4 linked regions of the Macaca mulatta genome follow. The protein of the gene in region 1 interacts with the protein of each later gene in a pairwise test. Links are inferred from orthologs where the notes say so. Each region holds a gene or a part of one and is shown on either strand. Other genes may lie near its edges.

Region 1 (4,024 bases):
TTCTGGAAAAGGCAAAACTATGGAGACAGTAAAAGGAGCAGTGGTTGCCAGTGGTCAGGGGACTGAGAAGGATGAATAGGCAGAGGACAGAGGATTTTCAGGGCAGTGAAACTATCGTGGATGATACCATAATGGTGGATACATGTCATTATATATTTGTCAAAACCCACAGAATGTGCAACACCGAGAGAAAATGCTATTGTAAACTATGGACTCTGGGTGATAATGATGTGTCAAAGTAGGGTCATCAATTGTTACCAAATGTACCACTGTAGCACAAGATGTCCATAAGGGGACAAGTTGTGTGTGTGTGTGCCTATGTGTACAGGGGATATATGGGAACTCTCTACTTTCTGTTCAATTTTGCCCTGAACCAAAAACTGCTCTAGAAGTGTTGGTTAATAACAGTAAAAGACAAAGACCCCTTCTGACCTAGGGAATCTCTGGTGATGGATGGGGAGGGCGAAGTAGTCCCCTAGAAAGTGGAAATTTTACAAAGTTCTTCAACTGATTTTGTAGAGCTAGGTTTGGAACTGCTACCCTACTCTATGCTACTCGCCCAAGTAGTGGTTCCCAAACCAGGTGTCAGGCTTCAAGGCCATGCAATATTCCTCATTACACTGTCTTGGCCCCAAACACATGCTTTCCCCTCTCCCTACAAATCAAGACTCTAAAATGCCAAGGGTAGAAGAGCAGTACTTTCCCGTGTACTGAATATGGGGGAAGGGAGAGCAGTCAAGCATGGACTGGCTATTCTAAGCCCCAAATGGGCTGAAGCTGATAACGCTTTGAAGATCGACCACGGCAGAAATATCTTGTTTTCTTTAATCCATCAGGGGGTTGTCCCACTTATTGAGTCCCACAGCTGCGGTATAGCACGGAGGGGGCCTCCCTGAAAGTCCTCCGCTCCAGCTCTCCGATTGGCGCTGGGGGAACAGGAGGGGAAGCGGAGGCTTTGCATCGAGCCTGCAACACGGGGCCCGGGCATCGAGGCCGAGGAGTCGTGGGTAGAGCCCCGATTTCAGCCAAGATGGCATAGGACGTAAGTAAGCGTGGAAAGCAAAATGGCTACGCAAGCGCAATTCTGTAAGGCCGAAGGGACGTTCTTCCAACCTCTTAAATTTCCCGGGCGCCACGCCCCTCAGTTGCTTGCCCTGGATTCCAAGGTGTCGCGCGGGAAGTGACCTCACGGCGGTGGCGTGGAGACGTGGGGGCGCTTCCGGCGGCGGCGGCGGCGGCGGTGACGGCCGAAGCTGTAGGGGTGGGCGTGGAGAGAGTTCTTCTGTGGGTCCTCTGGTATTGCGTGGTCGGCTTGGTGTGGTGTGCGGAGGAGCTCCAGGCCCGTCGGGGCGGAGGTGGGAGCGAAGGGAAGAGGCTGCTGGTGTGTGGACGCTCGTGGGAGGGGGATGCCGGGCTTGCTTTAGGCTTCGGAGTTCCAGGCCTCATAGACCTTTATAGAGGAAGGCAGGCAAGAGCTGGGGGCTTCATCGGGTTCGCAGGGGGCCAGGTACTATGGGCGGCCGCAGGAGTTTGGTTTGAGGTGGGAGGCTGAGGACTGCAGGATTCTAAATAGTACGGGGATTGTGTGAGGCGTGAGGCATTAGCTGCTTGGGCCCTTAGTCCAGCCTTGTTGGTGGCTGCTGTAGTTCATTGGCTCACTGATTTCTTCATGCCTCAGTTTCCCTTTGCATAATGAGATATGGTGGCAGAGAAGAACGCCAGTGCCACATCCATGACTAATAGCTTGAGGACAGAGGTGAACTGGAGGGTAGAAAAAGAGGATGCCTGAGAAATTTATACTTACCAGGTCACATCTTCTGAATCCCAGGAAGTTATCCCTGGATTCATTTCTGCCTTTGGTGCAAGTCTGTGGTTCTTATCAGTACTCTTTGTGTGATATTGATTGTATTTATCAATACTTGACTTGTTGAGTGGCTAAAGTGTTTTGGTTTGTGGGAGGCATAGCCCTTGTTGGCTTGGTCAATTGATTTTCAATTAATCTCCCAGTAGCAATTGCTTCGCCTAACTCTGCAATTGGGATATTAGTTGAAAATCAACTGACCAAGCCAACAATCTTCTCCTCTGGTTACAGATAAGGAACTCACGACCCAGAATGGTTTTTCTTTTCTTCCCTAGCCACAGACCAAACCGATTTCAGTCTGCTGTCTCAAATACAGGTCTTCACCCCACCAAAACAGAAATGGCTGTCTCCAAGCAGTTTAGTATTTCAGCTGGACACCCAGATGGATCCTAATCTTTTTTTTTTTTTTTTTTAATGAATGGCAGATTAGGTGTACTGAGCACAAAATTCTCTTAGCTGGTTTCTCTGTATGATGTAAAAATGGTTGTAAAAACATGACTTTTTGTTTATTACCAAATTCTTGGTAGAGCTTCCTTGGCATAGGGTTATGGGGCTAGAAAAGTGTCTCAAAATTTTTGACCTGTGACCTGCAGTTAGATATATTTTACATCACGACATTACTCATTGTGCCCCTGCACACTCAGTGTCTACACACACACACAGCCCCACCCACCGATGAAAAGTTTACTTACCCTTTCTACAGAAGATGCATTCTAAAAAAAAATTGGTTGCAACGCACTAAATTGTGTCTGAGCCCTAATAGGTCGTGAGGTATAGTTTGAAAAATATTAAGGGCGGGCACTGTGGCTCACGCCCGTAATCCCAGCACTTTGGGAGACTGAGGCGGGTGGATCACCTGAGGTCAGGAGTTGGAGACCAGTCTGGCCAACATGGTGAAACCCTGTCTCTACTAAAAATATAAAACTTAGCTGAGTGTGATGGTGGGTACCTGTAATCCCAGCTACTTGGGAGGCTGAGGCAGGAGAAACTCTTGAATCCAGGAGGCAGTGAGCCAAGATAGTGCTATTGCACTCCAGCCTGGGCAACAAGAGCCAAACTCTGTCTCAAAAAAAAAAAAGAGAAGAAAAATATTAGACTAGGGCCGAGTGCAGTGGTGAGAGGATTGCTTAAGGCCAGCCTGGGCAACATAGCAAGACTCTGTCTCTAAGAAAAACAACATTAGAAAATGCTTAAAATCTTTGCCATTTGTGAGATTCTGTAATTAATACATTATCATTTTTCTTTCTTTTTTTTTTTTTTTTTTTTTTGAGACGGAGTCTCGCTCTGTCGCCCAGGCTGGGGTGCAGTGGCCGGCTCTCAGCTCACTGCAAGCTCGGCCTCCCGGGTTTACGCCATTCTCTTGCCTCAGCCTCCCAAGTAGCTGGGACTGCAGGCGCCTGCCACCTCGCCCGGCTAGTTTTTTTGTATTTTTTAGTAGAGACGGAGTTTCACCCTGTTAGCCAGGATGGTCTTGATCTCCTGACCTCGTGATCCGCCCGTCTTGGCCTCCCAAAGTGCTGAGATTACAGGCTTGAGCCACCGCGCCCAGCCTCATTTTTCTTTTCTTATTCAGAGAAGGGCTTACTAGATTTCTCCTAAATTCAGCCAGAACAGCAGGACAGGACATCCAAATTGTGTCTCAAAGGAGTATAGTGACCATAATGATAGTGTGTCAGAATTTTAGCAAGGCATTTATGAAGTCTTTTTTTTTTTTTTTTTTGAGATGGAGTCTCATTCCATTGCCCAGGTTGGACAGAGTACAGTGGCACAATCTCTGCTTACTGTAACTTCCGCCTTCTAGGTTCAAGCGATTCTCCTGCCTCAGTCTTCCAAGTACCTGGGATTACAGGCATGCGTCACCACGCCTGGCTAATTTTTGTATTTTTAGTAGAGATGGGGTTTCACCATGTTGGCCAGGCTGGTCTCGAACTCCTGACCTCAGGTGATCCACCCATCTCAGCCTCCCAAAGTGCTGGGATTACAGGTGTGAGCCACTGCGCCTGGTCTTACTAAGTCTTATGATAACCGAGTGGGTGAGATGGAGGAATTTGCCAGATTGTGGTAGAATTAGATGGAGTCATGAGTTTGAGCATCTGTGTATGGAGATTTGATTTGTGAGCACTACTTGCAGCTGGAATTCTGGTGATCTGAACTGGGGTTTCA
Region 2 (3,571 bases), on another chromosome or scaffold:
TATATATTTGGGGAAAAGATAATACATAGACTAGCTCTGTAAAATAATGTTTTTCATTACCTCTGTTGTTTTATTACTGCATGGGTGGTTGTCTTTTATGACTGGTTCTGTCCTCTTTCCCAACCCCCAGAAGTTCTAGATTTTGTACAGTGTCTTGTTTGAGAGTTCTTTAGAAAGCTTGGATTATGCATAATGGCATATTTTTTATTTTTAACTTATTCAAAAATTCATTATGTTTAAGATTGGTTTGCAAATTGCAACTGTTTTGTTAGGCAGCTTCTGGGGCCTAAAGACAACTGACAGTATATGATAGTCATGGGGTGCTTGTTTTCCTGGATTCCTCTAAGGTCTTACTCTGACAAGGACAGGTTCCTTCCCTTGTTTTCTAAAGCTTGAGTCAGCAGGAGTTATTACTGATATCTGGTCTTCTCCCTTTTTTTTTGCATTGAGTTGCTTTTTAAGGATTGCCTTTCTCCATTGATGCCAATTTAAAATAATTTGTCAAATACTCTTCCAAATTTTGATACAAAGCCTTGAGATCTTATCTAAATGCACTCCATTTTTTTTCTTCTTTTAAGTGTAATTCTTTGATATTTGTACACCAAGCTCTTCTTTCTTAGACACTTTGTTTGTTCGCTGCTATTCATCTTTCTTCTTTTAAAAAGAAAGGGATCGGCCAGACGCAGTGGCTCACGCCTGTAATCCCAGCACTTTGGGAGGCCAAGGCAGGTGGTTCACGAGGTCAGGAGATAGAGACCATCCTAGCTAACACGGTGAAACCCCATCTCTACTAAAAATACAAAAAAATTAGCTGGGCGTGATGGTGGGTGCCTATAGTCCCAGCTACTCGGGAGGCTGAGGCAGGAGAATAGCGTGAACCCAGGAGGTAGAGCTTACAGTGAGCCGAGGTCAAACCATTGCACTCCAGCCTGGGCGACAGAGCGAGACTCTCATAAAATAAATAAACAGATAAATAAATAGGAAGGGATCTTTACCCTCACTCCCTTCATTACTCTTCATTAGCAGTATAAATCTCTAGAAACTCTGTTATTAGAACCTTAGTTTCTATGATATTTGGAAAAGGTACTTTACTGGGTTTATTGTTATCATACAGAGGCACTGATTATAGAAAGTAGGAGATTTAGTGTAGTGGTGGCTGGATTTAATACAATTCACGGAGTCTAATATGGTACTGATTCTAATTAAATGAGACGCAAGAAACTGTGTTTGGAAAATGTGAGACTATTTTGTGTACCTTGGATAAAGGTATACCAGGATGTCAGACTATCACTTTGCAGAGATTACTTCGTATAGTAGAAGCTTGGATTTGGAGTCAAAAAACCTGAAACTGAATCCGAATTACATTATTTGTAACTCATTATTTGTGTGACCTCAGGCACAGTCCTTAATCATTCAAAGCTTGTCTTCTAGTCTGTAGAATAGTGTTAACACCCCATATATATCGTAGAGAAACAAACGAAAAACTATGAAATGTTAGGTACATGTGAAGAGTAAGGGATCATATACCGAATCCCTCTGATACGGGAACCAAGGATGTTTCCTATTGTAGGATTCAAGGCATTTTCTGTCTAACTCAGGAGCACTATGTAAAGATCTGTTTGGTGCAAGAAAAACCATTATTGTAATGATGGGCAGCCATTATAGCCAATCCAATGGAATGATATTTCATTCAGCAACTGTGTGTCTATATTGGGATGTATGTGTGAAAAAAGTAAGACAAAAGCTCCATTTGCATGGGGCTTACATCCTAGTGGGGGCAGGACAATTAATATTAAAAATAAGTAGTATGGATAAAAGAGAAAGGTTAGAGGTATTGAGCTTGGGAACATTAAAAAGGGTAGTTCAAGTAGGCCTCATGAAAAAGGTGACATCTGAACAAAGGCTTGCAGGAGATGAGATAGCTGTGCAGCTTCTGGGGCAGTAATCCAGGAAGAGGTCTTTAGGTAGAAGCACACATGCAGAGAGAGTGGCAAGGAGCCCAGTGTGGCTGGAGAGGAGGAGGTGGGGAAGAGCCATAGGAAATGAAGTCAGAGGGGGAATACATCAGGTGGGGCCTTGGTGGCCTCAGTAAGGACTTTGACCTTTACTCTGAGAGACTGTCTTTGGAGACTTCTCATCAGAGGAAGAATATAATCCGACTTAAATGTTTTGTTTACAGGTGTAAGTGCTTGATAATATTGTATGTTCTAACGTATTCTTTTCTGAAATGAAAATAAAGCACATAGTAGATAACATTTCTACAGATTAAATGGTAACTGCATATTTTTTTTTCCTTCTATTAAATCTAAGGTCAGCTTCCCCTTACCATGGTTTTACCATTGTGAATCGACTAAATATGCACAATCTAGTTGAACCAGTGAATAAAGATTTGGAATTTCAGCTCCATGAACCATTTCTTCTGTATAGAAATGCAAGCTGTGAGTATATCTGTTTTATTATAGTTATTACATTTAAAATCGAGTGACTTTAGTTTCTATCAATCCATTATTTAGTAAGTTTCAAATTACAAAACAAAATATGGCCTATACTTTATGATTATAAATGAGTCTGTTAGAAAGATCAGACGTTTTAAACTGGGCTCTGAGACCAGACGTGGTGGCTCACGCCTGTAATCCCAATACTTTGGGAGACCGAGGAGGGCGGATTACCTGAGGTCAGGAGTTCGAGACCGCCCAGGCCAACATGATGAAACCCCATCTCTACTAAAAATACAGAAAAAAATTAGCCGGACTTGGTGGTGGGCACCTGTAATCACTTGAACCTGGCAGGTAGAGGTTGCAGCGAGCCGAGATCGCGCCATTGCACTCCAGCCTGGGCAACAGAGTGAGACTCTGTCTCAAAAAAATAAATAAATATACTGGGGTCTGAAACTAGAAACATTCTTTTGTATATAATTTTGTTTACTATTTCGTTTACTAGCACTACATTTATGTTGTTGGTTTATTAAAATAAGGTTTATGCCTTTGTTTTTTTGCAGCTGTGGACTATCAGCTGCCCACATCCCTGAGCAACAGAACTTAGTTTGGGACACACAGGATGGGAGCAGATACAGATAATTCTTTCCACAAAGAAAGTATTATTTTTGCCCAGAATAGTGGTGGTGGGGTTTTTTTAAAAGATATTTATTACTTTTTCTACTTTATTTTGTCTGAATATGTTTCTAAGTAGGGTTTTTCTATCTGTTTATTTAATTGAGTGTCTGCTGGTTACCAGCACTGAGCCAAGAGCTATGGTGCTTTAATGTTTGTAACCTATGTGCTATAGGGAGGCAGTTAAGGCAACTAAGACTCAGAGATGCAAAACTATTACTCTGTTGGAGAGTTAGGATTATAACTCTTCTGCTTTTTAGTCCAGGGTTCTTTCAGGCATTTTTACAGCCTCTAATGATAATTGGATGCAGTCAGCAAAGCTAGATTGGCCCTTCCAAGAAACTACAGTACTAAAAAGTGTACTTGATTCCAGTGTGTTGGTATGGATATTGAAGGTATGGGTGTTTGAGGACAGTTTGTTCTACATTGACTATAGGGGGTATCAAAACTGGTTATGGTAA
Region 3 (3,571 bases), on another chromosome or scaffold:
GCATAAGTCCGATGTGGGGATCTTTGGAAATATACAAAGACATTTGAATTTACCAGTTTCTGCAGATGTTAAATAACCTCTAAAGTACACGGGGATATATACCCCAAATATGGTTCCCTAAATTTGATACAGAAGGCAGAGCATTATTTTTATTGGATGTGTCTTATTTTTGGTGTCTAAACCATTTTGTTTTTCACTTGGGTGTATTTTCTTTGTACATACAAGTTCAAAAATGGTAATGAACATTTAAATGATGGAAGTAAATTTATCCTTTGACAAACAGACACAATTTCTGGAGAAATTTTAAAAATATATGAGTCTTACTTACATGAATTGCACTATATAATCTATAAGCAAAATAGGCTGGTTTGTCTCGAACACAGAGAACTAGGAGAAATCAGAGAGAAGAAACATTGAGAGTGAAAACATACATTTTCGTCAGAATTTGAGAAACAATAGCACTTTTCCTGTTACAATTCTTACATTGTATTATAATGTCAACACTTACAATAATGGTAACACTATAAGCCACAGGAAAAAAATATAAAGCAACAACATTATAATGAGTCATGCAGATTTTCACTTGATCTATTTCTATCTGTTGGAACTCTTATTAGTTCCTTCATGTAGCCTAATGAAGAAAACTTTATCATCTTTATCTGAAAATTAAATCAAAAGAGCTTCAAAGAAACCTAGGTTATTACCACTATTATAGATTATTATTATCATCATTGTAGGATTCAATATGATATAGCTCCCATGTAATTTGTTCATCTATTTGAATACTATTTTTAGTAACTTACAGATTTGTGAGTAGACCTGAAGTCTCTGAAGGAGAAACTGTATGGACCACAACTGGTGTAGAACAGTTTTAGAAGTCATCTAATAAAAACTGCTAAGGCATTAGAACAGCCTAGAGAATGGTCAACAGTTATCCTTGCTGGAAGTCAGCTGATGATCATAAACTTTCAGTAATGTTTATTTGAATAGGCTAACAAATTAATACATGAATGGGTAATGTATGAGAGGCTATAATCTCTAGCCAGAATGAAATCATCATAACAGTGTTTCCCTAGTAGTTTAAGTAATGATTTTAGGTTGTGAGATTATACCCTCATCTTTTCTTTCATTTTTAATACATGAAACATCATAATCACTCTTGAGTCATAGTCTTTATAACCTCCTTGAAGGCAGTGACTTTTGCTGTTTCTGTTGTTTCATTGTTCTATCTGTCGTGCCTAAGTCAGTGTCTAGAACAGTAGGTGCTCAATAAATGTCTACTGAGTGAATAAATCAGTTGAAATGTTTTCTGCCATTTATAATGTCCACCACTTCCTCTCTTATGCCCACTGCTTTGTGGCAGGGGTCTATAGTGGAAAGAAAGCTATCTTGAGATTCGGATATTATGAGTTTTAGTCATAACTTGGTTGCTAATCAGCTGATCGGCTTTGAGGCAGTCAGTTAATTTCCTTAGGCATTGTTTATAAAGTGAAGGATTTTGATGTGGTATGTGGTTATTAAATTTTGTAGAGAATTTTCTGGAATAAATGTGACATCCTCAGAAAAAAATACACAGTTATTAATAGTCATTTCTTGCATACTATTTTAGGGGCTTCATCAAACTGTTTTCATGGAACCCTAGCTTGAGACTTCTTTACTGGATAAGCTGCAAAAGTTCCTTTATCTCTCAACTGTCACACTCATGTATGCTTCTGCCATTCAAGGATGGAAAATCACAATATTCATTTATTCAACTAGTATCTAGGTGATTACTTGACTGTGCCTTCGATGGAGATATTTCACAATGACCCCCTTTGGTCGTCCCTGAAATGTGTGCTGTCAGCTCACAGCACAGTACAAGACAAAGGTAGTTCTATTGCACAGGTAGTTCTATTGCAGTTTTTCTGGATAAGTAGCCCTGTTTTGTCCTCTATGGAGGGATATTATTTCTTAGGAAGGAGCAAGAGGTGTGCCACTATCACAATAGCCTGAGGAAAATCACTACTTAGTAAATCTCTTTTATGGTAGGATTTACTCCTAAACCAAAATTTGTTAGTAATGGTCACTAAAAAATCCTTTACCTCCTAAAGAGAAGAGAAGCACACTGTTAAGTATTTATCTGCTCTTGAGCAAGGGAATGGAAGTCAGTAAAGATAAAATGGATTGAACAGTGTGAGAAGCCAATTCCGAAGAGAAAATACCTGAGAATGATGTGTTTTTCTGGTATGAAAGTTGAACTAGCTGTTGGGGGGGTATCAGTTCATTAAAGTCATCAGGTTGCCAGTTTAGTGCATTTTATTAGTAACTGATGTACTCTTCCACTATGGAGTTTACATCCTTTTAAATAATAAAATTCAAGGGAAAAAAATGACTCGATCAAGAGCTTACTCATGTGTCTTTAGTTCATTCAGAGCCGCTCAGCATTTATTAAGAAATAAAATGTCTGCTGTACTTCAAATAATTTATTACTTACCAATTGCAACCAACAGCTCCTGAAAGTATCCATCATAACATTCATTAATGGCATCTACCATGTCTTGCCCAGAAATATTTTGAAATTCCTGAAAAACTTCAACAAATTGATGTAATTCAAAGGAGATTTTGAAAATATTATAAATGTATAATATAAATATTAATTAGATTGTTACACATACTAAAAATCCATATTTTCCATAAAATAATTAAAAGTACTACTGCTACCAATTCTGTTTATTATAAATACCATTGAAACAAATATAGATACTCTTAGTAGAGTCATCATAAATCTTGAACTTCAAAGACCTGTTATTATTCTCTTCTCCTGGGGAACAAATGCCACCTCCAGTGAGACCCACTAACTCACTGCTGATTTAAATTGAGAGGAAGCACACAGCAAGCCATTATTTATGGACCAGTTATTTAGGACATATAGGCTTATGTCAACAACAAACTTCCTACTAGAGCTTAAATATGAGAATTAAGTGTAAAAGTCCTCTCCGTGATGATTAAAATAGCAGTCAAAGTATCTATAAAGAACATTCTGAGAAAGATGAAATCAACTTTATGGTTATAGACTAGAGTTTACTAATTTAGAATTGTGATAAATTAAGATTCCTTATTTCAAGAACTTAGTTATATGACTATCCCAGGCAACTTTAGTTCTCATCCATTCTTACTCAAAATTAGAAGCAAGAAGATGCCTTTTCATTATTATTATATGATTATCATTAAGACAGGTAATGTCTCTTATTGACTTGTAAAGTCCAGATGTGGGATTGGGGTAGGGTAGGCCATCTGTTGAAAATTTTCAGCCATTTGTGTATTTTATATAGAAAAAACAAAATTTGTTTTTAATAAAAGAAAAAGAAAGATATTGTAGTTTAGGGAATAAACAAAGGGCAAACTAACATGAGTGCACTCTCTAAAACCAATAAGGTTCTATCAATATTGCAGAAATCATGACATCAATAATAATGACCTTGATGCAGTATTGACTGGTTAAACTATATTTACTATACATTTTTGCAAGACAACATATAATATACCTAGTAAGAAATAGCTAATATATTTGAATAAGTACTCCATCAAATAC
Region 4 (2,967 bases), on another chromosome or scaffold:
ATATATTTACATATTATATACAATGTGCATCTGTGTGTGTATATGTATACACACACACACACACACACAAAGTGGCTTATCTGCAAGATCACACTGTGAGTGATCCAGTGTTCTTTTCATTGTTTACGGAAGAAACAGTAACCAAGCAGCCAGTATAGCTACCAGTTTGTATTTTAAAAATTGGGTTCTTTAGGCGGCAGTTCACGCCTGTAATTCCAGCACTTTGGGAGGCTGAGGTGGATGGATAACTTGAAGCCAGGAGTTTGAGACCAGACCAGTCCGGCCTATATGGCGAAACCCGTCTCTCCTAAAAATACAAAAATTAGCTGGGCGTGGTGGCATGTGCCTGTAATCCCAGCTACTCGGGAGGCTGAGGCATGAGAATCACTCGAACCTGGGAGTCAGAGGTTGCAGTGAGCAGAGATTGCGCCACTGTACTCCAGCCTGGGCAACAAAGTGAGACCCTGCCTTAAAACAAATAAAATAAAAATAAAAATTGGGTTCTTAAGAAAGTATAGGAGGATCTATCACTGTATTAATGCTGCATGACAACTCCTGAAATTTCAGTGGTTCACAAGAAGGCACATTTCTTTTTCTTTTCTATGGGCATGTAGGTCAGTGAAGCATGGCTGGATTCAGCTAAGCTTGGCTCTTAGTCTGCAAGTCCAGCCTGGTCTGATCCCCCTTGGTCATTCTAAAAACAACGGCATCCTGGGCCATGTTCTTTTCATGGTGATGGCAGAGGCACAGAAGGCCAAGCCAAATGATGCCAGCACACTAGAGCCTCTGTTCATGATATGTCTGCTAACAGTACATAGGTCAAAGCCAGTCATGTGGCCAACCACATATCAAAGGAACAGGAAAATATACTCTTCTTACTCCACGGGAGGTTCTGCAGAGTCATATGACAAAGAGTGTGGGCACGTAATTCTTATACAGGGAGGGAATGAAGAATCAAGAACAAGTATCCAGTCTACCACAAAGTCTTTATGAACCTGAAGTAGATGGTAGAAATTTTCCCTTTGAAAATAAACTTCGGTGTTGAATTTTCAAAACTGTACTTTGAAATGTGGTTCTAATCATATCCATTTTTGTTTTTTTTTTTCTAGAGATGTGAAGATATCTGGCTTGGCATGCCATCACCTATTCCTGCGAAATACATTGACTACTTGACCCTTTTGAAGGATGTGTTTGGCTTAGAGGAGGAATAACCATGCCAGTTTTGGTCAATTCTCTTTGATTTACTTCTCTCATTTTGCCACATTTACTTTAGTAGATATAATTTCATTAAAAACAAAAAAGAAACAAGGTTTATATTAAATGGAAATCCACAAATCACAATTAATCCTATTTTGTCATGTTAGTTTTTCAGAACATCATGTTATATTTCTGCCGTACTGTTACTATTTAAAATGCCATCTTAAAACATGTTGAATATTTTTATTATATGTATATTTTATTAATACCAAAAAATCTTCTGATAATTTTTCATCCAACGTAATTTGATTCATTAGTATATGAACAGAAAATAACTTCTGAAAGTTATACATGACAATACAAAATCAAATTATATCACAGCAATAAGTTGTGATTCTATTAAATATTTTTGAAACCTTTTTGACACATTTATTACTTATATAGTTAAGTTTTGTAGCAACCCACCTCATCAAAATAATTCTTAAACCTCTCTAGAGTAAATATGTTTATTTTTTAAACTTAGTAAAGCTATGGGAAGAAAAAGAACCTCCCCAAAACATACACACACACACACACACACACACACACAGGAAACATATGCAGTATTTATATTTGTAATGCCCTTTTTTCTATCTAAAGTCAGCTTGTTAGCTTAGGAATATATGCATGTGTATATAATTATAGTTTGACCAAAAATTTATTATGTCTAAAATATTTACAAATGTGAAAGCTGAAGATTTTGAGATTTTTTTTTTTTTGGTTTGTTTTACACACACATCCCACCCGCCCCACCCTAGAGGTTTAAATATTCAGAAACTACAACATTTTTCCCCTGCATTTTTCTAGTTCTATTTTTATTTTTCTTCAGCAGAACTCTTGTCATGTAGTATACATTTGATTAAAACCCATAGCCATGTACCTCTGGGAATTCAGTGTAAGAAGTCTATCCCCGTCTATCCCATTGTTCAATGTGGGGTGCTATGTATCATAAATCCATTTGCCTGGTGTTCTGGGAGACAATGGAGGTCTCTCAAGAAGGAACTGCAGGGACTACTCTGAGAAGAAGAGGAGCTGATGACATCTCAAGGGACCCTTCGGACTCATTATTCTTTCACTCCACATTTGCAGCAGTGTCTTGCTGGCTTCTTGGCACTCAAATGTACCAATTTACTCTTGACAACAATGGCCCTTTCATTTTTAAAAAATTGAAGTTAATCAATAAACGATTTCTATATATAAACCTAGAATAATTCCACACGTGCTATTGTTAGAATAGATGCTCCCCCCCAACCCTTTCAGGACTTAACACTAAACTAGTATACTCAATTTATATACCAAAACTATCTACCATAAATCCTAAATTTGACTACTTGATTTTTGTCCCAGGTTTTTTTTAAGGCAACTGACAGTGCCAAGCCATTTTGTCACTTTAAGATTTTTCATTCCCCAGAGAGCAAGCTTTTAGAAGGATGACACTTTCCTGGAACTTTTCAAGCTGACACATTCGTCACTTACCTATTCAACTCTTCAGTCAGTTGTCTTTCCTTCAAGAGTTTAAATATGTAGATAATTTAGCCCTTGTAAAGGCTTATAATGTAGTTCATTTGAGAAGCTGGGGGAGAAAAAGGAAGCAAACCAATGACAATGCTCCTGAGTTTGTGGGGTGACAACTGCTTATTCTATTGCATAGATGTGTGTTACTGCTCTGGTTGTTTCTGGTTCAAGCCCACAATTAGCAATGAAATGGCCATTATAGGATTCATGCCGATA

What was found.
Region 2: the proteins of EDC3 (region 1) and DCP1A interact in binary tests that used the Homo sapiens proteins (3 or more experiments, as listed by UniProt). The two-hybrid records come from large-scale screens. The link is inferred for Macaca mulatta from reciprocal best matches to the Homo sapiens genes EDC3 and DCP1A.
Region 3: the proteins of EDC3 (region 1) and ANXA10 interact in binary tests that used the Homo sapiens proteins (3 or more experiments, as listed by UniProt). The link is inferred for Macaca mulatta from reciprocal best matches to the Homo sapiens genes EDC3 and ANXA10.
Region 4: the proteins of EDC3 (region 1) and EFHC2 interact in binary tests that used the Homo sapiens proteins (3 or more experiments, as listed by UniProt). The link is inferred for Macaca mulatta from reciprocal best matches to the Homo sapiens genes EDC3 and EFHC2.

Annotation. Positions count from the first base shown.
Region 1 is NC_133412.1:52,627,351-52,631,374, reverse strand, and holds the start of EDC3 (enhancer of mRNA-decapping protein 3), read left to right. Parts: upstream 1-1,186; 5' UTR 1,187-1,355; exon of another isoform or gene 1,356-1,381; intron 1,382-4,024. UniProt on the Homo sapiens protein: Binds single-stranded RNA. Involved in the process of mRNA degradation and in the positive regulation of mRNA decapping. May play a role in spermiogenesis and oogenesis.
Region 2 is NC_133407.1:116,924,822-116,928,392, reverse strand, and holds part of DCP1A (mRNA-decapping enzyme 1A), read left to right. Parts: intron 1-2,249; exon of another isoform or gene 2,250-2,269; coding exon of another isoform or gene 2,270-2,310; coding exon 2,311-2,438; intron 2,439-3,571. UniProt on the Homo sapiens protein: Necessary for the degradation of mRNAs, both in normal mRNA turnover and in nonsense-mediated mRNA decay. Removes the 7-methyl guanine cap structure from mRNA molecules, yielding a 5'-phosphorylated mRNA fragment and 7m-GDP.
Region 3 is NC_133410.1:176,692,811-176,696,381, reverse strand, and holds part of ANXA10 (annexin A10), read right to left. Parts: intron 2,570-3,571; coding exon 2,474-2,569; intron 388-2,473; coding exon 329-387; intron 1-328.
Region 4 is NC_133426.1:44,120,575-44,123,541, reverse strand, and holds the end of EFHC2 (EF-hand domain-containing family member C2), read left to right. Parts: intron 1-1,109; coding exon 1,110-1,211; 3' UTR 1,212-2,441; downstream 2,442-2,967. UniProt on the Homo sapiens protein: Microtubule inner protein (MIP) part of the dynein-decorated doublet microtubules (DMTs) in cilia axoneme, which is required for motile cilia beating.